Lepisosteus oculatus: one gene and its partners. The protein of the gene in region 3 purifies or fractionates together with the protein of the main gene of each other region. This does not show direct contact. Links are inferred from orthologs where the notes say so. Each region holds a gene or a part of one and is shown on either strand. Other genes may lie near its edges.

What was found. Proteins that work in one complex are often made in the same cells at the same time.
Region 1: the proteins of phlpp2 (region 3) and usp46 purify together in Homo sapiens (affinity purification with mass spectrometry; 4 studies listed by BioGRID and IntAct, counting the BioPlex papers as one, with this or other methods). This does not show direct contact. The link is inferred for Lepisosteus oculatus from reciprocal best matches to the Homo sapiens genes PHLPP2 and USP46.
Region 2: the proteins of phlpp2 (region 3) and wdr48a purify together in Homo sapiens (affinity purification with mass spectrometry; 5 studies listed by BioGRID and IntAct, with this or other methods). This does not show direct contact. The link is inferred for Lepisosteus oculatus from reciprocal best matches to the Homo sapiens genes PHLPP2 and WDR48.

Annotation. Positions count from the first base shown.
Region 1 is NC_090696.1:78,122,853-78,130,993, reverse strand, and holds the start of usp46 (ubiquitin carboxyl-terminal hydrolase 46), read left to right. Parts: upstream 1-4,716; 5' UTR 4,717-5,371; coding exon 5,372-5,407; intron 5,408-6,794; coding exon 6,795-6,875; intron 6,876-7,366; coding exon 7,367-7,580; intron 7,581-8,141. Other genes in the region: uncharacterized protein, read right to left, coding at 102-165, 832-898, 2,470-2,735. UniProt on the Homo sapiens protein: Deubiquitinating enzyme that plays a role in behavior, possibly by regulating GABA action. May act by mediating the deubiquitination of GAD1/GAD67.
Region 2 is NC_090701.1:35,349,896-35,357,905, reverse strand, and holds the start of wdr48a (WD repeat-containing protein 48a), read left to right. Parts: upstream 1-4,585; 5' UTR 4,586-4,639; coding exon 4,640-4,687; intron 4,688-8,010. UniProt on the Homo sapiens protein: Regulator of deubiquitinating complexes, which acts as a strong activator of USP1, USP12 and USP46. Enhances the USP1-mediated deubiquitination of FANCD2; USP1 being almost inactive by itself.
Region 3 is NC_090715.1:9,959,553-9,967,696, forward strand, and holds the start of phlpp2 (PH domain leucine-rich repeat-containing protein phosphatase 2), read left to right. Parts: upstream 1-4,841; 5' UTR 4,842-6,438; coding exon 6,439-6,639; intron 6,640-8,144. UniProt on the Homo sapiens protein: Protein phosphatase involved in regulation of Akt and PKC signaling.

The DNA.
Region 1 (8,141 bases), on a different chromosome or scaffold from region 3:
GAGAGGAGTGCTGTTCCCCCCTGTGTTGGCCACCCAAGACACTGACAGCCTTAAATGGGCAAAGCTTTAAGGGGACATCTGTTCATCAGGACTACTTCACTCACCTTCAGAGCAGTGCAGAGAATGAATTTCATGCCCAGTGCGCACACAGACTCCATTCCACACCTTCAAAAGATCATAAAGACAGGTGTTAACATTGTTGTCCTGTTGGCCACACTGCAAAGGTACATCTTACTCCACAACTGTCTCTACTGCAGGCACTTCAACTGCAGTGCACAGAGATTCCCAGTTCTACAAGCTCCTATACAAGGGTGTACAGATTAAGTTTGCACTCAGTGCTGTACTGCCCTTGGTCCTAGTAAACTGGACTTGATTTTGTGCTAAAACACAAGAGCCTCCCAATTTCTCTATGAGACGTGCTCCAAGATGGAGAGACAAGATTTGATGTTGCTTAAATTTCAACAGCCATCAAGCGACAGACAGAAGTTTAATACTTTATACAGTTACAAATAAAACATGTAACGGCACAGTACAATTTTAACTTCTTTTATTCACAAATAAATTGTGAATAAACCATCAAATTGCCTGAAACATCCCCATCTACTCCCAACTTGAATACAGAACAGATCTGAGCTCTGGACACACTAGACGCATGACATCCTCAGTTCCAGAGTAAATGTGTTCCTCACGACAGGATCCGAACCAGAGACGGCACCTCTGCTTCGGGTTTAAGAGAGGAGTGCTGTTCCCCCCTGTGTTGGCCACCCAAGACACTGACAGCCTTAAATGGGCAAAGCTTTAAGGGGATACAAAACCATTAAGACTGCATACCTTCCTGTCGAACCCGGAGCCACGACTACACCGCGATGGCTGGAGGACAGCATCGCCCGTCAGGGGGCTGCAATTGAAAAGACAACCTGTCAATCAGTCAGTCTCACTCTCATACACAGCACCTTTCAACACAGGGCCCTGGTGAGGCTTGTCGAGACGCGTCCACAGTCACAACCGCGAACCAGCGGGGGACCGTTCCATTGCGGCATTCAGAAACAAAAGACGAACATGGTGCATCGATCCAGTTTAAAAAAATAAGCCTCCCACAGAGAACTACTACAGCATACAAAGCAAGCACCACCGCTATGTGCACGCCAGCACTAGAATAAGAAAACGCCTGGTGTGTCCTGACGGTACCCGTGAGACCGCGCGTGTGAATCTAACCGTCTCCAGTGTCACCCCTGCATGCCCGCTCTGCGGTCCACCAGTGCAACGCCTCCAGGTCATCACTTCGACTGGGACAGTATCGACATCGGAGCTCTGACACTCAGCTCCCGCAGGGCCGGGGCTCCTGGCTTCTGGTCCAAAGTGGGCAGCGAGTGGCTGACCATTTCCCTCATCTTACAGGCGATCACACAGATCTTCCACGTGATCGAGGGCTACCGCTACCTGTAACCGCCCCACGCCAGCCTGGTTAGAAGCACTACAGTGAGGTCACCAATTAAAATAACTTAGACCCACCCTGGAGCAGATCGCAGCTGGAACACGAATCCAAAGAAAACAGGACCCTGCAGGACCCCCGATTCAGACGACACCCGAGAGGGGTCGCTCGTCACGCAACAGACCAAGGCGATCAGGACCTACCTAGGCGATCAGGACTCGGGGCAGAGAGGGCACTCATCTGTCCTCCCGTGTCGGACACGGAACGCCGCAGGCCCGCCCCCAGCTGTGGAAACACAAAAACGAGATTTTTTTCCTCCTTCTTTAAAGGAGAAAGACGCACCGACATCAAGGCGCTTCCGCGTGGAGCCCGGACCGGGTATCCCAGACCTGCTGGTGTGAAGAGCACAGTGCTGCGGGCTCCAAACGGAGGAAGAAAGGGCCGCATTTATATTTATCCGCCCCTTTCCTGGCTGGGAGGGGAAACCAGCCACAGCTCACAATGCAAACGCAGTTATCACCGAAAGCAGTTCAAGTAGGGAGCTGCGTCAGCATGCGTGAGCTGCAAAGGAACGAGTAAAAGTTTATTCCTGCTGAAAAGAGAAGGAAAACACTAAGTTTTTTTTTTCTTCTCTATTCAGCATAGAATAAAATTTTACTTGTTCCATTACCAGAGAAATACTAGCAGACGGTTCGTTCGACAAAGCTACGCAAGACGGAAACGTGGGCAAACCCGTCAGGAAAAGGCGATAACAAAACGAAACAGCAAAATCCGCATGCCACGTGGTCGCTGAAAAACCCAACTCCCCGTACAGCCTCAGCACACAACCGCGCCGCGACCTCCCCAAGCACTGCAAAGTGCATTATTACTGCGTCGCAATTCCGCTAAGCAAATTTTAATCACGTATAAAGGCTACACTACTGCTTCCTTCTACCTCTCTGAACTACACGGTTTGTCAACTACCAGGGGTAGACAGCCGGAGGCCTGTGCAGCACAAACCGCCCCCCCAGAAAACAAAGGATCCCCCAATAACTAACCATCCAGCTGATGAATAATAACGCGGGACATTGCACTCGCGTTCCCCCCACAGAAACGCTAGCTGCTGCGTCCCTCTGCGCCATTTCATTTCACGATTTCTCCAAATCTGCACAACGCCCGCACAGCCCGCGCGTCCGTCCACCGCGCGGCCCAGGAGGAAGAGGAGGAGCGCCGGTGCATGCTGGGAAACTAGCGAGCCCCGGAGCCCGGCCTCCTTCGTTAAAGGCGCAGCTCTGCACGGCACTGGCTCGACACAGCAGGCCATCGCCAGAACAGTTTGAGCGGGTGGGCAATTGGTTTGAACCGGGGGGGTGGGTTTGAGCGTCTATTTGAGACTCTACAGACGATGGTTACCTAATCAACGCCACAATATAGGAGGCACAGTCAAAAGTATTTCAGGTGGGACAGTAACTAAGAGGGAGGCCATTCAGGAGTGAAAACAGGGGGCGTTTTTAACACAAATGTTCATGGGGGGTCTGGAACACACTACCCAGCAGAGCTGCTGAAGAAGATTCCCTGGGATCTTTCAAAATATGGTGGGATGAGTTCTTGAATTCATTGAGCAGCTTCCAGCCTGATGAGCAAGCAGGGTCAAACAGTCTGACTCGTCTTCTCTCTGACATGACATACTCTGCAGTGCAGAACATACTGTACATTCACAGATACACACTGGAGCAAAAACTTTCGAAAAACACTTCATTTTTATTGTCATCTGATGGTTTAGACCTGAATGTTTTGTAGATGTTCCATTTAGGATGAGCAAAGCTCAAAGCTTCCCAGCTTCTTTGAAGGGAAATTGAGTTCTGTTTCATTTCAGCGAACCGGGGAATGTGACTGTGTAAATGTAACACAACTTGAAAGGAGCCAGAGGAGGTATCCTCCGTCCCTGGTGGGATGAGCTGTACTAGCTAATAAATCGCACGCAGCTTTGTATTCCCAACAAGCACCTCCCAGATGAGGTCTTGCAGGCTGAGTTTACTGAGTTTCTTATAAACCAAATTCAAAAGCAAACTAAAAAAAGCATTTCCATGGAAGCCCTCTTGGGAAACAATAGCCCACTCTTCTTAAGAAACCACAACCGAAGACCCATTAATCGTTTAATAAAACATTGTAGCCTCTTTACGAAGCTGGCAGACAGTTGTACAGCACCATCTATTTTAAGCATCATTAAAAACAATGAGACTTCCTCGGAACGCTGTCTCCACACAGATCCCACAGAGATCCCACAGAACTCCAAATGTCACCAACTGGCTTGATTATGGGAGATAGTGCTTCCACTGTAAACACTCTGTTTACCAGAAAAACGTTGTTACATTTTAGAAGTCTTTTTTTTGGCAAGCTTTCACAGAGCTGAAGAAACAATTGGTCAGAACTGGAAGTGCTCTGTTACAGTTGTAACGCAACGGGGGTTCAGGCGGGCACCCTTGCCGCATTAGGTCGGCCCCCCACCGTCGGGGGGCTCGAACCCGGGACTCCCGCGTCGCTCAGCAGGGACCCAGCTCGGTGAGCCGAAGAGAGATCTCTCCCCAGCCCAGGGGCTGTGGTCCTGCTGTCACAGGGAAGGGCGGTGACGTCACCTGCTCTGGTAAGCCGGCTCTTACACAGTACCTGTCGGCCGTAAGCGTTACACAGTGTTACACGTTCGCATACCCATAGATGACAACACGTGCTTCTTGCTGATGCTCTACCCTGGCTGTGACCGCAGCTCCATGGGTACTTCTAGAGGAAAGGTCTGTGTCCCCTGCTGTTGCCACACGCTAGCGTTCTACCAGAAGGACGTACGCCCCCTGACACCCTGGTTCACAGATGCTCCTCCCTAACGTCCAACAGGAATCACACCGTGCTGTGCTTCTCAGCCTGTACAGCTTCTCTAAATGTTGTTGGAACAGGTCATTTGTTTTGGTCAAAGGTTCGTACTGTTAACAGGTGCAATCACTTGGTGAAGGAGGTGTAGACTTCCACAGAATAACAGACCTCAGTAACAGACATGACTTGTCCTGTTTCCTTCGAGTGCTACACCTTTGCGAGCCTGCTGTGAGGGGATACCTACAATATCTGTTATTCGGGGCAAGCAGTCCGAGCCATGTGCCATTAACACAACAGGAAGAAAAAAACACTATACAGACTACTCCCAGCTTCAGTGCGCTCTATTTCATAGCCAAGGAAAGAGCACTGAACAGCGTGCGGAGACAAGGCCGAGCGATACTCTTAAGTTTGTCCTGAGAAAAATATAAGGACACTATTCAGTGAAGCGGTGCAACAGTGCAGCTCTGCTCAGGAACAGCAGAGCGTGTTTAACGCGGTGTGTGGAGTGGGATCAGTCCTGACAGCTGCCTTCTCTTTAAACTGCTCCAGCCTCTGTCGCCTCGCCCCCCTCCCCAGGCTCCTGGCTGCGGCGCTGGCCGGCTGATTGGCCGCAGCCCGGCTCCGGGATCCCCGCACGGCCATCCGATTAGCCCAGCCGGTCTGTCTCTCAGCCGGCCCCGCCGCCGCCGCCGCGCTCCGAGCCGGTTCGGTACCTACCCACCTCGGCGAGCGGGAGGGGGCGTGTGGCTACTTCTCCCTGCGACTCGCCGGTCCCGGCAACCCGACGCAGGCCGTCCTGTTCGCGTCCGCCGTCCGAGCGCAGCGAGGGGGCATCACCTGGCGGAGACATGCACCGAGGCGGGCGCTAGGGCGCCCCGCTGCCCTCTCGTCCCCTGCCCGGGCGGCGTGCACGCATCCGCCGGCGCAGGTCCGAGCCCGGTGGCCGGGGGGCGGTGTGTATATTGCGCCGGGGCAAGGCGGCGTAGCTCCCTGGCTCCTGGAGCTGCCGGCGGAAGACCTTTTCGGCATCGTCCAGCCTCCGTAAATCATGTTTATTTTATAAAGATGGCGCTGAGGGGGGACCCTGTAAACTAAATGACTGTCAGAAATATCGCCTCCATTTGTAATATGGTAAGTAAAGCGCTCATGCACAGGATGGCCCTCGGTGTGCGATGGTGACAGGCGGGCAGCGATCGGGGGGTACGGGGGGCTCTCTCGCCGCCGGTGCTCCCGGTGCGAGTTGCCTTAGGTCCAGCGCTGGCCGGGGCTCAGACCGGGCGCCTGGCAGGGATGCGCAGCTCTAACCGAGGGCACAAGGGCACGGCTGCCGGCCGGGGCGTCACTCAGTGGCGGGCGGGTGGATGGTTTTACTGCGGTTTCCTGCGACTTTTGCAATCGTGCGGGCTGAGATTTACCTTTTCTTTTGCCGTTGACTGTGTATATACAGTCTGTTTTCTCCCCCCGAGGATAATGCGCATCCTTCGCGTACATATTTTGAAACTTCTCCGTAGATCTGGCCGGGCAAAGAAAAACTAGGCTAATCCGCGATTAAATGGTCCCTGTTGTTCCCGACAGTTCTGAAAGACTTACACCGAGGTCAACTTTTGATAGCGTGTGGTGTGGAGCCCAGGCACCGCGCTCATTTTCCCCTCTGTCCTGAAAGTGTGTAAAATACATGATTCACAGTGCCTGTCACTGATTCCCCAAGACGAGTCTTGGGAAAACATCTGCTAATTGGAAACTCATTTTAACTGCCTCTCCTGAGACGTAAAATATTTATGATGATAACAAGCACGCTAGCTTGCAGGTTTAGTAAGTTGTGGCGAATTATGAGATAAAGTTTTTCTCGTTGTGTTCTTTTTTTCATAAAGAGCATTAAAGAAAAACCGGGACAGTTCCAATTACTTTTTTCAGCAACCTTAGACATTATTGAACATGTTCTTGCAGTGTGATGTTTAGTTCCAGTATGGAAATAATGACAGGTTCTATATGTTGAATTTGAAGGAGAAAATTATCGATACATTGCACTATAACCCCAGAACCTTCTGTCCTGATCTCAGCACAGCTCAGAAGCTCAGCAAGGCCGGGCCAGGTCTGCAGGGGGGCCACTCTGGGAAACCAGTTTGCTGTTGTAAATGGTGTTGATGGACCAGTAGGAGGCACTCTTCCCTCTGGTTACAAATTCCAAAACCATTGCAACAATGAGGTGACCAGCACACTGTTCAGCAGGAGGTGCTGTACTTCAGATTAGTTGTTAAACTGAGGTCCCTACGTCTTGGTCTCCTGTAAATCTCCTTTGTTATTGCCTGAAGAGACTGTCAAAGGATATTTGGGTAGTACTGAGAAAACTAAATGAATCTGACTTTTGCTGCAGTGTTCCTCCGAGTGGCGGTATCTGTTTTCAGCTGCACCTGCAGCTCAGCGCTCTTGAATGCAGCTGTCAGGTCGCTGCGAGGCTTGAAGTTTGAAGTTAAGGAGCTGAGATCCGCCTGTCAGCTCGATCTGTGTTTTCTTACAGGGCACCAATGCCTCTGCTCTGGAAAAAGACATTGGTCTGGAGCAGTTTCCAATCAATGAACACTACTTCGGCTTGGTCAATGTAAGTAACATTTCAATACTTATTTAATTATGCATCTTCTCCATTCATATTGCTTCGTTCTCCAGTCGGAAACTGGCACCCTGTTGGAGGAGCAGGCATTGGTGTCGAAGGGTCTTAGTCATCAAATATGGTTCTCCTAGATGAAGAGTGTACTGAAGGGGTTGGAAAGTCATTTAACCTTTGAATTGAACTGCGCATTAAAAAAGTAAAAAACTACAATCAGCAGGCATTCGCCTGGCACTAATGGCCCCTGTAGTAAAGGCCTCTGGAATTGCAGGAACAGTTGAGGCCCCGGATAAGCGGCTCTCCTGCAGAGGGTTCTGGGAGTCTTGCACCCAGCAGGCTCTGCGCAGAGCTTCCCCAGGCCTCTGGCACACGTGTCTTTTTTAAACTAGACGAGCTTCTCCCGCGGAGCAGGAGACTCGTTCTCCCCCGGGGAAGGGCAGGCGTGTAATTGAGAAACCCCCTGTCTTCCTCCTTCTCGCCTGTAGTTCGGCAACACGTGCTACTGCAACTCGGTGCTGCAGGCGCTGTTCTTCTGCCGACCGTTCCGCGAGAACGTGCTGTCCTACAGAGCCCAGCAGAAGAAGAAGGAGAACCTGCTCACCTGCCTGGCCGACCTCTTCCACAGCATCGCCACCCAGAAGAAGAAAGTGGGCGTCATCCCCCCCAAGAAGTTCATCTCCCGGCTGCGCAAGGAAAACGGTGAGAGCCTCTGGGGGCGCTGCGTGGCGGCTTCGACGAGGGCCGGTGCGTTTTTACAGAGCCCTCCTGGGACACGCGTGACAACACTGAGATCACCACACGTTTAGGTTGCTTTCTCCTTTTCCCCCCAGAAGCAGTCTTGCGTTGTCCAGAAACGACACGTTGTCCGTGTTACAGCTCATCTGTGCAGATTTCTGAGCGGCCTGTTCACGGTCATACGTGTTGTCCTGGCACAGCGCTCGGATGAGCGCACGCCAGTGGGGTCACGCGCTCAGGCTGCTGGCTGTGGACGTCGTACAGTACAGTGCTCCAATCCCAGGCATCAGTGCTCAGTAAGACTGCATGTGGCCTACATCCAGCTTTGAACGGATTCTCCAGGAGAAGGATTCATTCTACAGTATCTGGGAAACGTCCTGGGAGCTCCACCAAAGAAAGGAGTACTGAAGAATAAATTAACTTGCTTTGATCTGACATAGTCTGACTTTCCTTAGAATTGTCTGTGCAGAACAACAGTAACAATTTCTGATTTGCCAGTTTCATAACTGCAGGGATTCGGGTGTT
Region 2 (8,010 bases), on a different chromosome or scaffold from region 3:
CATGAATTACATTGTTTCAGATATTCTTGCATTTTCTTTCTGAAAATGTGTCACTGGGACACAAAGATAGTCAATTCCGATAGACAATATGAGGATATCATTACAATGTAAGCATTTTTTGTGAACATAATGGCGTTTTATTTAAATTAAACGTTTCTGCTTTGCTGAGTTGGGACCCTTGGTTCAATTAGTCTGTGTGGAGTCTGTATTTTCTTTCCATGTTTGCTTTGATTTCCTCTGAGTGCTCCATTTTCTTCCCACAGCTCAAAGACATACTGTACTTTTAGATTAACTGGCTTCTAGAAGCTTCTAGGAGCACTGTCCCTGGTTACAGCACAGCTCCAAGGGGATCCTACATACATAAGTGGTTTTCATGACTGTGACAGTCTTCTAAAAAGCACACAAGTTTGACAGTGGAAATGTTTGGTAATGGAAATGATATTGGAAATGTTCATACTTTGGAAAAATAAAACATTTTGGGAACAATAAAATGTCAAATAATTTTGCCTGTTGTGCTTTTCATGTCTCTGCTTATGGCTACAATTCCCATAGCCACAGGAGAGAATGAGGAAGTGCAGCTCGACTCCTCTCACCTGCCATCTTTGAGCCATTCATTTTATAACGTGTCACAGACAACACAGACCTGTACTGAAGGTTCAGTGCTCACTGGAAGAGAGTCTGCCCGTACCTGTGAAACCAAAGGGGTTGCCGTGTCAACAACAGCCGAGAAAGTCAACTTATCTCACTCTGCCCCTGGTGGCACTCAACCATTTGTGCATAGTCACTTGGGGAATCCCAGTCACAGGTGGTGATACAGGGTGGGAATTTAAAAGCCAGATGAGGAATTAAAAACCAAAGCCGAAGTCTTGATTTGAAAAAAAAAACAACAACTGTATTTTGAATTTGAACTTAATTTCTGAGGTATTTAGACAACTTTATTACTGATTAGAATGGAGTAGAAGATCATTTAAAAAAGCCAGATTTTTGGTACATTATATATTTTTGCAGAGAGTATAACATAAATCCATAAAACTTTAATATGGATTTATGTTATAATATGTCAAAAACAGTGTACGGTATTTGATTTAAAAAAGTGATGGCATATCTATAAAAAGTAATATAGTTCTTTCTGAAATGTAGTAATAAAATACTATTCATAATTTATTCTAAAAATAAGCATGTAGTGTGTATTTATTAGTGCACCATATTACAGTAATTGCAAGATTGTGCTAAGAAGTTCAGCTAATTATATCATAACATTTTTTTTTCTGTCAGTAATGGAAAAGCTTCAAAAGAAATATTATTCAATGGATGGAAAGTTTGTTTTTTTTGTACACTTTTAGTCTTTACTAAAAAGGTCTTGCTGTTCTGGAAACAAAGATCCTGCTGAGCTAGTCTCAAAAGAATGTACTACTCCTGTAGCCTAAAAAAACTAAACCTTTTAGTTTCAAATGGAGCAAACTATGCAGAGATCTGGTTCAAGCACTGAAAACTTCAAGGTATTGACAAAGTCAGCCTTATGGGTTTCTTAGCAAGGTACTGTAACACAAATCAGAGGATCCAAACAGTAACTAAGGTGAAGGCATGTCTTTATACAAAGCCTTGTGGGAGGCAGGTGAGCTACAATACTTAATCATATTGTAAAAACCGATACCCTAAAAAAAAGACATAGGGGATCATCAAATTATTTAGCTACTGTACTACCAAATAGGCTAAATAGCTCAAATGGTTGCCTCTTATTTATATGCATTCTTTTATTTTTAGTCCAGTGTGTAGAATGATGAATATCTCAGTATTATTTGGTCTGAAAGAAAGCTAGCATTGTCCTCATTTCCTCCATGTTGGTACATGGGTCATAGCAGTTAACTGAGTAACAGGGCAAAACTGGGATCAAAATATATAAGATAAATAAAACATGAATTAAAACATCTGCCTTGTTTAACTTTTTTCCTAGACCTGCCTTAAGGGGAGAAGGAGTTTGGAGTCTGAGGCAGAAACATAACATATTGGAAGTGGAATCAAGAAGTAGGGTCTACATCATATGGAATGCTTTACAGAGAAATAGTGTGTTTTTTATATACGTATCTACAATTCTTAGCATAAAGATGTTGTTTTGCCTGGCAAAAGTGATCTCTTAACATTTTAGGTCTAAATAACAAGGTCAGACAGGCTTACTTAGTAAATATGCAGCTCGGCATTATTCCCAGACAAAAAAAAAGAGTAATTTTTAATCTCAGTGTTTAACATGATCATTGCAGCGGAAGAGAAGGCACATCTGTCTCTGCTCTGCTCTAGATAAACTGTGAGAGGACATCTGGATTTGAGTTGCTCTTTTTTAATGTGATGATACTCTTTTCTGAATTATGTTTTTAAAATGTATGGCTCTTTCTGACATTTCCAAAGGAAAATACAGAAAACAACATGAATGTGAATGAAAGGGATTGGTCTTTAATCAGAATAATAGGACAGCATGTTGAGTTCATATTGCACATATCACATTGTTGTGGTTGGGAATAGGCTAGCCACAAGAACTAAAGGATTTATTTTGAGTGTTAAATTAAGAAATCAATGTGCTTTTTTATTCTACAAACATGGTTTTAAAAATGGCAGACTAATGCAATTAAAACACACTAGAATCAATTTAATGTACCTTATATATATCAGATTTTTAATACCTGAGCAATCAAGAAGACAAAATAAAAACAGATACAGAGTTAAGAAGGCTGTGACTGCTCACACACCACTATCAGAATGGCTAGACCATTGGGCATAGACAGATGGCAACCAGATATTTTTTTAAAATATCAGCAGATCCATGACCTTAGTTAAGTACTTTGTACTAGGCACCATACCTTTAAATTAGTGCATCATATTCCACACACCTGTCCTTAATTTTCTGTAGTTTTATTCTTGATTTTTAAAGATGCTGATGAATACATAACTAATAGTTACCTGGACTTAAAAATGAGTATAAACCATGGGCATTAGAATAATTTCATATACATCGCATCATCCAGGTGGGGCTGCACATTGGTGGTGGTGGAGGGGAGTCCCCATTACCTGTAAAGCACTTTGAGTGGAGTGTCCAGAAAAGCGCTTTGTAAGTGTAAGAAATTATTATTATTATTATTATTATTATTATTATTATTATTATTGTTGTTGTTGTTGTTACTATTTTACTGATGGCTTTATCCATGATGAAACTCAAGTTTTAAAACAATCAATGAATTGTAATAATGTATAACTCAGTGTGGTATAATTGTATAATTAGGTGACTATTTTTCTATCACATAACAATGACCAAACAAAAAATGTATATATTTCAGTATCGCACATTCAAATAATAATACAGTGTGTATAAATAACAAGCAAGCAGTTTGTCTTTTGTCCACTGGAAGCCTATTGATAAATAATTACAAATGTTTTTATATAATGATAATCTGGTTTTATAATTTTATATTTTTTTCACTCTAACAAGTGGGAAAAGAAGCATAGTCGTCTTGAAGGGTTAATACGTCATTCCTGGGGGTATTACACAGTTCAGCTTTTGTAGTGCATGTTTTGATTCCCCACTGGAAAAAAAAAACTCATTATAAAAAGAGATGGAATAGCTAACCTTATATGTTTCCATAAAAAATAACTTCTGAAAATTAAATTATTTTACTTATATTGTTTCTCCTTCTATCCTCGACATTACAGGTAATGGGGACTCCCCTCCACCACCACCACTGTGCAGCACCCACCTAGATAATAATTTGTTTCACTACAAATGTATGCTACGTTTATGAATATTGATCTCAGCTTTTACATGACAAAATCTAAACATACAAGCCACCTTCGTTATTTCATAGATTGAACATAATTTGGACCGATCGTACAGAATGTGCCTAAACAGTAATTCCATTATCTTCCAGCTGGGAGGGTTTGGGGTTTATCAATGGAACAAGGAAATACCGATACACTATGTACTTTCTCCATTCAATGAATGTGCTGTATTCCCGTACATTAGTTGCACGATGACTTATAACCTGTCTAGAAATATCATAATTGACTTCCCTTAATTTAGATAAAAAATGCAAAATAAAAACATAGTTCAGGTACGGATCTCCATGCTTTTGACAGAACAGGTACAGCGTCTCCTTTCGGTGCACTCCTATCGCCCCAATCAACTTTACGGTGACCGTAGATCTGCGATTAGTGACGCAGTTATTTTACGGTGGAAGACGAGCGTCCTTTTTTATAAACTACTGTTCTTATATTATTTTATGATACAGGAACCGTATAATCTGTTTTACGAAAATCACACACCGATATATATTGAAGTCACAACAACGATTAATGTTTTTTTTTCGTTAGGAAAACGATTTGCCAAGTTCATAGCAAAATAATTACACGTCTAATTACAGATTTTATTTTCAATGTAATACGCAGAGAGACATGAATCACGAGACCATCTATTATTAATATTTTTTCCAGAATGGGGTTCTTAATGGCATTGTTTAATTCTCATCTTTTCTCTATTATATGGTAACAAGACTCCCATTTAGCGTCAGAGTTTTTCGTTTGATTGACAAGGCCCATCCGGAAGATTACGCCTTCGTTCCTTGGTGGAAGTGACGTAGAGCTGTCAACATGTAAGATGGCGGCTCATCACAGGCAGAATGCTGCTGGGCGGAGAAAAGTGCAGGTAAAATCTGTTTTTTCATCGGATCTCAGTATGTGGAGTGAAGGGTACAGGTTTAATTTAGTACAGTGACCCTGGGTAAGGATGTGTAGAACATGCGAAACGAGATAAAAAGACGTTCGTATGAACAGTTGCATTGATGTGGCTGGAATAGGGCAGGTGGTGTTCACTTAGAGGATGAGTGTACTGTAGCTGCAACATTTAGAAACTGTACTGCATTGCAATGCTCGACTAATGGGGTTCAGCTTTATATTGAGCGTATGAGCCAGAAGGATCGCTGATCACCGCATAATCGATAAATCATTCAGGTCTCGTTTAAATCTGTGAGAAAAGGTAGATTTTGAAAGGCCCGGGTTCTTGGCGGTTCTATGCAACTAGCTGTTAATTCAATGGTTCTCACAGTACTAGTCGTTGAATCCGTGTTTAGATGTACAGTATTAATCGCGGAACACAGATCTGTTAAGATTTGTTGAATAGCGAAATATGGTTTATATGATACCGAAAGTTTTTTTTCTTTATATTTTTTGATGACCTTAACCTATTTAGATTAGGACAGTAATTTCGATCCAGGTGACACCAATTGAATTATTCCCAAATGGTAAATTTGTTACATATCGTGGTATGTTTCGTTAAAATACCTGTCTCTGTAGGTGATCTGTGATACGTATTTATACGTGTATGTGCAGTTATGAATATGAAAACAGTGTATATTATATTATACAGGTATTCACAGAAGGGTGGCATTAATTGAAGATGATGGTTTTAGGTTAATATTTCCCTGTCTTGCTCATTTTTGTTCTAATTGAATGCTTCATTAGTCGTTACTTCATTAGTACTGAAACCCTAATTGATGTATTTGTTTGATGTTTGAGTGAAGATTATTATCGGTCAATGTAAAGACACAAATGGGAAAGACAGGCACTCGTCTAAGATTAAATATTCTTAGCACTGTATAAACCCATTGGTTAAATTCCACCTTGAAACAGTACATCTAGATGACATGAATTCTGAAAGATGATTGCTTGCATAGAGCTGAGTTTTGAGTTTTTAGAAAGTCAACTAATTTCAGTGTTCAAAACAAGGTTTCTCTGGGACTAGGATTGGGAATTACTGTTTTTAGATCAGTAGGTCCTGCTGTATGATCCAAATGTACTTCGTTATTTCAGATTCCATAATGGAAAGGCATGTTTCTAGAGGCAGCATACTCCCCTGACTTTATCTCTTCAGAAATATTACTCACTACTAGTGTCTTTTGTGATACTGTCATTTATTTGCTTGAGTTTGACTTGATTGATGCAGGAGTTTATGTACAGATACTTAACAGTGACTAAAATATTTTGGTACTCATGTTAAGAAACACAATGTGAAACCGTAGTAAATACAGAAAAGTTGGTCTTTTAATGATTTAGTGTCTGGTACACATTTCATTATTAAATTGTCCTTTAGTTTTAATGAAACCAAGACATTAACAGATTTTTTTTTCTTGATTTTGGACATGGACTTGATTTAAATGACAATCGTAAGACTGATTAAAGTGCTTACTGTGGTAAAATGTAGCAATTCTCTTGCTTTAAAGTATTCAGATGTACTGTACATTTGTATGTGTTATACTCTACAAGTAAAGCTGCAATAGTCCAAATGTATCTTTTGTATATTAAAATGAGAGCATTAAAAGAAATGCACCAATCTATACATGTGTGTTTTTAGAAAACTCTGCTTTCTGTGTTCTTGACTGGTCGGATCAATCTCCTGACCTCAATGCACTGGAATGATTGTAGTTTAAATTCAAGAAAGCAGTTCACAAATATATACCAAAGGATCAAGTAATAGGTTTATTCCATGCTGAAAAAAAGAAGAAAGAGAACACAACGTTTCGGCCGTGGAGCCTTCTTCAGGTGTGAGCCTGAAGGTCCTTTACATACCAAAGGATGTAAAGGACCAAGAGCAATGCTGCCTGGGGGAATGGCCAAAATTCCATACCTGGAGGAAATGCCAGAACCCTCATGGCACAATACTAGGAGACCTATCTTTACAATCCATGCAGAGGGAGGATATATGAAAGATTTTTCGGTTTCTGAATTAATTTGACTGGTGTGTTTTCTGGTCGTCTGATAAATTTGACTTTGCTTTGTGCAATGCTATCAACACTGCAATGTAACATTTTTAGGATTTTTTTAAGCAAGACACATTATTCATTCCATAAATCTTTTTGTTCTGTGTTCTATCTCTTATTTGATTAGGTGAAAGAATAAAGCTGGAGGCCTCTGTAAATTGTTGCGATTGCAAACGCCTGATAAGAGACTGTTTATAGCACTTCTCACCATATCAATACATTTTATCTCTTGAAGCCCTACATTGCGTGTGCTGACCACTAAGCCATTAACTCATTTTTTTCCATGGCCAGGACATGTTGAGGTTTTACCATTTGTGAACTCTACACCTTCTTTACAAAACCCCAGTAATAACTGGAAGAAATCTGAAAGAGAAGGCGGTGAGTCTGGTTTCTGCGATACGTAATGTATCCCAGGATGTTGGAACCTGAACGTCCTTATCTGTCGAGATAAAGTTATCTGGTCATTAAGTGCAAAATGTTTTCATCAGGAAAAAAGAAGAGATGGGCCGTTGTTTGGTAGCAAGTGTGTATCATAACAGAAACTGGAGAATCATTTGACAAGGTGTACTAACAGTTGTTTTGGGTGTTTTATATTCATTTTTGCTCAGTATTTCAATTTGTAGGGGTATTTTTTCTTGAAAGAAAAATCAGCGCCCATTAATAAATGTACACTACACTTCATTGGATGTCTCTGCCTCAGACCATTATGGAGAAATGGGCTTCACTGCACAGGGCCTCTCTCCCCAAACTGATTAAGAGCTACAATGTCACAGACAGTTTGACAGGGAAGAAGTAATGGAAATGTAACTAAAACCTTTTAGAGCAAAGTAATAGCGTGAATGGACCCTGGAGCTCTGTTTTAAGAGTTTGGAAAAGAGAGCATATGAATTTATTATTAAATTGGCTCACAGATGCATGCACAGCATCCATGTATTGGAATAAGGTATTGGAAAAAATAGAAATTGTGAACATGAAGTCATATGCATTTGAGATGATGTTTTCAAATTGTATGCACCTGTCCTCATGAATATTAGACTTGCTTATCACACCTGTGCAAGTATTATTCAGTCATTCAGTTATTCAGTCATATTTTCGGATTCATGATCTTCTGCACCATTGAATCAAACAGATGAGCTTGACTGAGTTGTAAGGATAGTGATTTGTAGAGACGGTATTAGCATGAACTGTATTAATGATATAGCTTCTGCTGTTA
Region 3 (8,144 bases):
TTCTCAGATTACACATGAAAAGCTTGACTGCTTTGCCCAGTGATTTGCCACGTTATGTATTTTTAGTTGATAGAGGGGAGGAGCAAGGCAGTAAAGTTATTGCTAAGGTTTGAGCGGTTTAAAGGTGCTTTTACTGTTCATTGCAGTGATCTTAAAGGCTTTTTTATGTTCAATTGTTTTTCTTTGCAGAATGTACATTGGGCCTCATAATGAATCTTTATCTTCCATTCTATTCTAAAACAGAATGGAAGATCAAGATTCTCCTGACTCATGTTAATAAGTATGTTCACAAATACACCAGTATGCAGTTTAACAGCAACGACTAAGGTTTGTTTTTGTCTTCATCCAGAAAGTCTTAATTTTTTCTGTATTCGCATAGCCATTGACTTAATGTTTGTACATATAGATGGGAAATAATTTTGAATGTAATGCTATGCACGTAGTACTGTTTCTTCTGTTTTTATGTGTTTACTTTTTGTCATTGTGGCTTGTGATTTTAAAATTTTCTAAAAGGAAGCCTTTTGTTTCAGCACTTTTTCATGTACCCTTCCAATAGCATAGTTGTTTGAGAACTTTTGTTTCGTCTTGTCAAACGTCACTGAGGACAAGACATGTCCTGCAAATAATGCCTGATATCAAAGCAATGTGCCTTTTTATATCAAAGATTTGACCAATCTTTCCCTGCTTTCCGTAAATCTAGATATGTAATACCTTGGTTATATGTACATGTCTAAAATTTCTGCCTTTGAGGGACTGAAAAGATAACTTAAGTAATTGCTGTTGAGTACAGATTTTGAGGTAACTCCTATCAGTTTAGTTAGCTTAGGAACAATGCTGGGAAGTTGAAGGATTTATCAACTCACAGTAGGAGATAAATTCAATATTTACCGGTTAAAAGTGATTTTTTTAAAAAAGCTGACTTTTATGACTGAAAGTGAAACCTGATTTTAAATGGTGGATATGTTGTCCCTTTTTGGTACATTAGGTTCCAAGGTACATGTAGTGCTCCAAATTGCAATGTGTTTTCTTAGCTCTTGCAAACAAACATCATCAACTAAATACCTCACATGTTTTTTTGGGGCTTCTGTTTAAGAATTGTAAGGCATACCTTGATTATGACGAGCATAACAGGACCATGAAACAACTTTTGGGATGTCGGGGGGCATTCATTTACATAAATTGAATACTATTGATTGTGCTACTGAGTTTTTCTGTTACACTGTTTGTGAAGCTACCAGCATTGATTTATTGTGTAGAAATATTTTGCTTTTGCATTATTGTTCTATATTAACTGCTAACTTTTCGTGACCAAATCAAATAAGATCTAGCTTTTGAAAATAAAATCTTCTGTAGCAATGCCATGTGTATATGGAACAAGAGATGTATGACGTGCTTTTAGGGATTATTTTTAGACTGAACAACTTAATGCAATCAAGGCTTTTCTGTATATATTGATCACCTCAATTGCCCACCACCCCTTTTCAGATCAGTTTTCTAAAGATCAGTTTTATTCTGTCAACATACACGTGTAGTGTATTGTTTGAAATGGACTAAAATAAATCTAGTTATTTACGTAATAGTCAAATTGTTTGGCTTTCCCTGTTTTCATGTACATTACAAAACAATATAGCATCTGCTGCCTGTATATTGTATATAATTGTAAAAATGCTAAAATATCCAATTCAAGACCCAGTTATGAATAGCTAGGAAGAAATTAATTATATACAGATATTTAATAAACCTTAGAAGGATAGTTACTAATTTACTCCTTTTCATTGAATTTTTGAAGACTTTGTTCAGTTTGGGGTTATGTAATGGATAAACCATATTTTTCCTTTTTTAAGGACAGACTGAAATCTTTCAACAAATTAGTCATTTTAGATGTTTGTAAATTTTTATCTGGCTAAAATTAAAACAGTTACTTAGCCATTTCTTTTCAAAGATATGTAATTTGATAAAGATGTTTCTGTTTGCTGGTGGATGAGATTTTGTGGGATTTTTGAGGTAAAAGTCCAAAAAATATACTACTGAGTAACACTGTACAATAACACCAGAAACAACAATGTATTTGTTTTGATGAACTTCTTAATCTGTTTATATCCTCTTCAATGGGAGTGGGCCCCTTGCCAAAATGCAATAAGCTTTCTTCTGGATTGAGCTATATCTTATTGCTTCTTCACTTGATACAATCAAACCCAATGGCTGGTTTACAGACAGCCTAAATGTGGCCTTCCATTGCTTCATGTAGATGATGTACATCAAGCCTAACTAGATGTTCTGTCTTGCACTGCTATGATACGTATGTAGCTGGGATGGTCTCCTATTCCCTCTCACCTTGTTCTTTTTTTGCCATTGCATCTGATTCTGTTATGATTGTACGTGAAAGAGAAATGGTCACATTTACAGAAAAGAAAAGTCTGAAGGCTGCCCACTTCCCTTACCTGCTTGAGTCAACAGATAATACAAGAGGTATGGTGGAAAGTAGTTTTTTTACATTTACTGTAGTTGGAAATTAAGTCAGATCGGCTTTGGATGGTCAGTTTTGACACACCTGTGCATACAACTAAAGGCTTCAAGTTCAAAACTAGAGTGTTAAAAACAGACGTGTTTATCAAAACTTAAGGATTGATGGACCTGAATAGCAGGCTGCAGCTGTGGCAAGGGGCTTGCTACTCTTGTGCTTTCTGATGCCAATTGGGGTCTCTTTGCTCTATGTCCTGGCAGTTTGTCATTTGTAGTCTTTGTTATTATCTAGCATTTCTTTTTTTAATCACATTCTGCTGTGCAGCCGTCCTTTAGAAAAACAGTAACTTTTCTTTCCATTTTATAACACAAAAGCTGTAGTAGAATATTCACATTTTCTGTACTGGCAGCACTTGACCACATGGGAGTGCTGTTAGACACTGGGGAGTTGCAGCAAAGAACAAAATTGGACTGTTTCTCATTGTGTCCAGTGTTTTTTATTTTATATTCACCAGTGTATTTTTAGTTTAAAGGGTGCAGTGTTACCCCATCGTTTAAATTCTTAAATTCGCCTGTAAGAACATTGTATGCTTTTAAGTGTTGAAAGAACTGGCAGATTAGGGCACTGCGGAATTGAAACAAATCCCTGGGAAGTGTATGAACAGCAAATGGACCTTTTTAAATCCACTAATATAAATTGTTGATATATGTTTGCCTATACATGGTTGTCTTACTTCACTCCATACAAGGTAAGACACATCGGTCGCAGTGGTTGCAATCTTCAGCTTCAGAGCTGCATGTGCAAAACAGTGTAAATACTCTCATTTCTACTCTTGATGTATCTTTTTAAAATGCAAAGAAAATGTTCAACATACCTCTTTGCTGAACATGGAAAATTAAAAAAAGTTTAAATATCTGTCATTTAAAAAAAAAGTCATAGCTTTGGGGATAAAATGAAAGTGAGCATTCACACCATTCCATTTGATGTGATTGTTTTTCACTATTATGTTGGTTGATACACATGTTGTGCTTGTGTGGGAAAGGAGGAGGGAGTCAGGAATCCAGTTTCCTTCCCTTTTCTTCTCATAGAAATAAAGTCATTTAGTTGGCGAGTCTTCGTATGAAGTTCCCCTTTATGAATCTCTGGTAAAGTACCACATAAAATCTGATTGGTAAGAAAGGATTGTTGAGTTTGAGTCCATTGTCCTGAAACCTGGAAGGGAATGCAAGGCTGAAATTATAATAAGGCTGTAAACAATTTCATGGGACATTTTAGAATTCTGCTGTGTATTATTGTCTTTGGGTTGGAAAAATTATGATCAGTGACTAATAAAAATTCAAAAAACGTCCATAGAAAGCCAGTGTTTTGTATTTATTTATCTGGGACTAGTAGGAGTAGTTTGTTGACTGTTGTGGAAAAATATTGGGAGGTTTTTATGTTCATTGCGTTTCGTTACATGAAAGTGTTTGTCAGAACAATTCTTTGTATAAATGGGACAAATTATTTAAGAGCTAGTGACCTGAAATCTTTTAAAAATCTTTACAGAAAAATCCATAATCTTCAGTAAGCTGCATGCGAGACACCACAGTCACTAATTCCATTGTTCGGAGTGCGACAGCAGGCTGTTCTCGAGCCACAATCAGGTTACAAACATGATTACTGTATACCCATCAACATCATAAATTGGCTTTTTTTGACATTCTCGGTGGGTCCACAAAGCCTTTTGTTTGACCTCTTGCAGTTTAGATTTTCTTGAAAGCCTTGGCACTCTGTGCGTCTACATTTGTTTTGCACGTCGGAGGTCCCTTGAAAGCGCTTTGTCCATGCTGTCTTGGTTCCTTCTCTTTTTCATGTCCTATAATATCTTTCTAACATAAATGGCAGAATGGGAACGGCACGATTTCATCGTTTCCTTGAATGCAGTTCAGAACTGAGCTGAGCTGTGGTTGTGTTTCAGTACTGCTGAGCAAGCAGATCACTGAAGGTAAAGGCACAGGCATATGCTGTTGGTTGTTGCACAAAGATTTCCATCATGGAGCAAAACAAAGGGAGACGCCATTTCGGATTTACTCTCTGTCCGCACTGCATGTCAACACGGACAACACTCCACATTTCCGTCTGCGCCTTTTAGGGTGAAACGGGAATTCTGGAAGCGAAAAAGCAAGATCACGAAGAATACAACCTGTTGAAATTCGGAACAAAGTTCATTCCTGTCACACAGGGGACATGCAATGTATGGACGTTTGTCAAGATTGATTAGTGGTAAGAGACTGACAAAACTGGCAAACAAACTTCAGAGTGAGGGTGGTAACTTAGGTAAATGATTTACAGAGTGCCATAGTGCTGGCTTCTCAAGTGATGTGAGAGAGAGCTGTCTTGTTTATACAGCTTTGTGGATTGATAGCTGTGAGATTGCCCTGGATAGGGACATCTGCTATGCAAGTGAATAGTAATTATTAAGCTAATAGAGAGTGGAAGCTAATTAAAGAAACTAATCAACCTTAAACTTTAAATTTTAGAGTTTAATAAAATGCTTTACTGATGATGGTTTATTCTCAAAGCTGTTTTGGAGGGTAATAAATCAACAGCAGATGAGCCTTTTATTTTACAGTTTAAAAGCTTTTTTTTCCAAGTAGTTAATTCAAGTTGACTAAACATTGAGGATTAAATCTCTAAAAAAACTTATCTTTATGTATTAACACTCTCTCTAGGAAAAAAACAATACTAACATCTGATTTAGTAATCCATGGGACTAGATTGTCATACGATTTTCCTGGAAGACGAGGAAATAGACAGTTTTGTACACACAGAATACCAGAATGCTTATAATCTGCAGGTTGTTGACACTGTCCTCACTTGGACGGAGGAAAGGCTGACTTGATTTTTGCATTGTCAGGTCACCCTTTACTTCAAGATTGTGGTTTATTGCCAGTTCCTTCTTGCCTGGTGTCCTTTTCTGTGTTCCCAGCCTTGTATTGGCAGGTATTGACATTTATTGAGAAGGATTTCTAGCCACACTCCATACGCAGAGGATAACTTTACCTTTGAAGGGTGTCATTCCGCGATTCGCTACAAATGTGTCAATATCGCCAGAGCTGTAAACCGCTTCGCTGAAGCTAATGAGCAAAGCTGACGTTATTGACGAAGAATCCCACAAAGCTGCAATTCTCCAGTTGTTTGCTTTTGCAACCTGCTGTTAGGATTCCTTGCCATAAGAAAAACTTGGCAGCCTTCTCCTGCAGTATAAAAAATGCGTCGTGTTGTAAATGCCCCAGTCCATGTCATACATGCTGATGCTAGGTTAAAATGTATCACTGCAAAATATGACTGGCACATTATTAGCCTCGGCTTAAATGATTTCTTTGAGCAAAGGATTTAATTGAGTATATAGGTTTATATCTCCATTAACATGTTTGATTTTCAGAGCTTTAAAATGAGATTGTTAACGTTAATAATGAGAATATAACGTTCGTTCGGAAGAGTCCATATTATCTGTTCATGAAACAAGGTGTCCACTTTCCCTATCAGGTGAATATTTGTGGATGGGGAGGATCTTTAGATTCTTCCAGCGGTCTGGATCTGGGAATGGCCTGGACGTTACAGGTAAACCAAAGATGAGGAATGAATAACCTAGAAAAGTCTCTTATCGTGAATAGTTAAGAAAGTGTACAAATATTTAAAATAATCTCGGTTCGAGTGAGGCGTCTGTCTTAATGATAGCGAACGTACCCTGATGAATAATTCAGCGCTTTCCTCCTCTGTATGGGCAGTTTTCTATGAATAATAACTCTGGCCCTGCCTTTCTAATGTATATTGATTAGATCTGTCTGACAGTCCGTGATGTTACAGTCTCGTTATGGCGTCTTAGCAGAGCTGAATGGGATTTTTTCCTCTGCTGCCCCGTGCATTGGAATTTGCCAGTTGTGAACTGGACATTTTTTTTCCGCCTTCATCTGTAACGTATTTCAATGTAAATGGAGGAAGACGAAAGTCCAGCGGGGGCGGTACCGGGCACGGAACCGGACCGAAACGATCGAGGTGGCGGCGAAGATAGCGGCTCTTGTACTGTTGCTCCGCCAGCTCCGGAGCCTTGTGAACCGGGATCAAACCAGGCTGCGGGTCGCGGAGACCTCGTCGGACCGGGCTCCCGTGTAACTGGAATACGGGTTTTGAAGGTACATGTCTCAATCATGCTCAGTATCTAAATTTCAGAACAGACACAACCCTGCCCACATTTGAAAAGACAAGGGCCGTTATTACGTCTGATACTGTTAACAGCTCTTCTACTTTCATAGCTAGTAATACTAAGTACGGTGATTAATTTTATGTGCATTTTGTTTGCCGTTTATCTTAGTGCGTGTGCTCTTGAATCGTTCTTTTAATTTATATTCCCAACTGCATCGGTAGGTATATTTTGTTAGTCTCTACCGGGGATCTGCATAGTGTCATACCGAAGCGTAGAGTTATTCATTACTGTTGCTGTCATGATGTAACCTGTTAGATCTATTTTAAATTATTTAACGTGTTTTAGTCATTTACCCGTATTAATCTCTTAACAATTATTTTAGGAAAGAAGTAAGCACGTTAGCAATTAATGTATTGACCCATAAGAGTTACACGGGTCTTAAGTTCCGGTAATGCCCTAAACAAATCTAGTCATTATATCATGAATATTTTAGTATGCATAGTTAGCAAGTGTTTTGAAACAAAGTGATTTTTTATTTGTGATAATAGCGGTGTGCCTTTTTCAGACGTTGTTTTTTTTAAAAATCATTGACATTATTTTCCTGTATGTAACCAATATACCCCGAGACCTTAGTTCATTCGATACACGAGCAGTACTAGTTAACTGTTTCCCTTATGGATGTTCCTGTACTTCCGCCATTATGTCATAATTAACTCATTAGATGTCTCAAGCACCACTCTATTAAAGATATGCGTGCTTACTTTCTACGTATGTTTGAATGTGGGCTGTACGAATATTATTCATCATTTTTTCAATGCTTCTTATCATGTTAGTCCTGAAGACTTTAATGCTTTGTAAATCAGGATGCTCTCTTCAAATGACTGCTGTGATTGCAGTATTCTGTTCGAATTGATATAAATAAATACATAAGCTCCGCATCCGGGTTAATTAAAATATCCATTGCTATTATATATGATACGGCTGCGTACACATGTATAACCTTCATAAGTGTGAAGTGTACCTCCAGAGACGGATTTTAAAGAACAGCACACAGGGATTGGTGGAAACTGCCGTCCTTTGCTAGTGCTTTAATATTACTGAAATATGGCAAACTACCGGACATATTTGCAATGCATATCTGATAAAGAGAAGCGCAAGACCACCCTCGCTCTAAAGATTGGTATGTGTTGCATGTTGGAACAGTGGTGCTGCTTAATTGAAATCTCTTAATTAGGGGTTGTGCCAGATTTATTGATCAATTTCTGGAGTAAGACATTTCTGTGGGAAAAAAAAGGTACAAACATCATATGCCTATCTGACCATTGCCTGTAATTTCCAGAATAATGCTACTCAGGCTGTATTTCCATATTCCAGGCAGTGTGTGGTGGTCAGTTATTCAGTTATTTTTCTTAAATGTTTTGCAATCTTGAACTGACATTTAGAGATCCCTCCCACTAGAATCCAGCCATCAAGGTCTGGCGTTGCCCCATGACT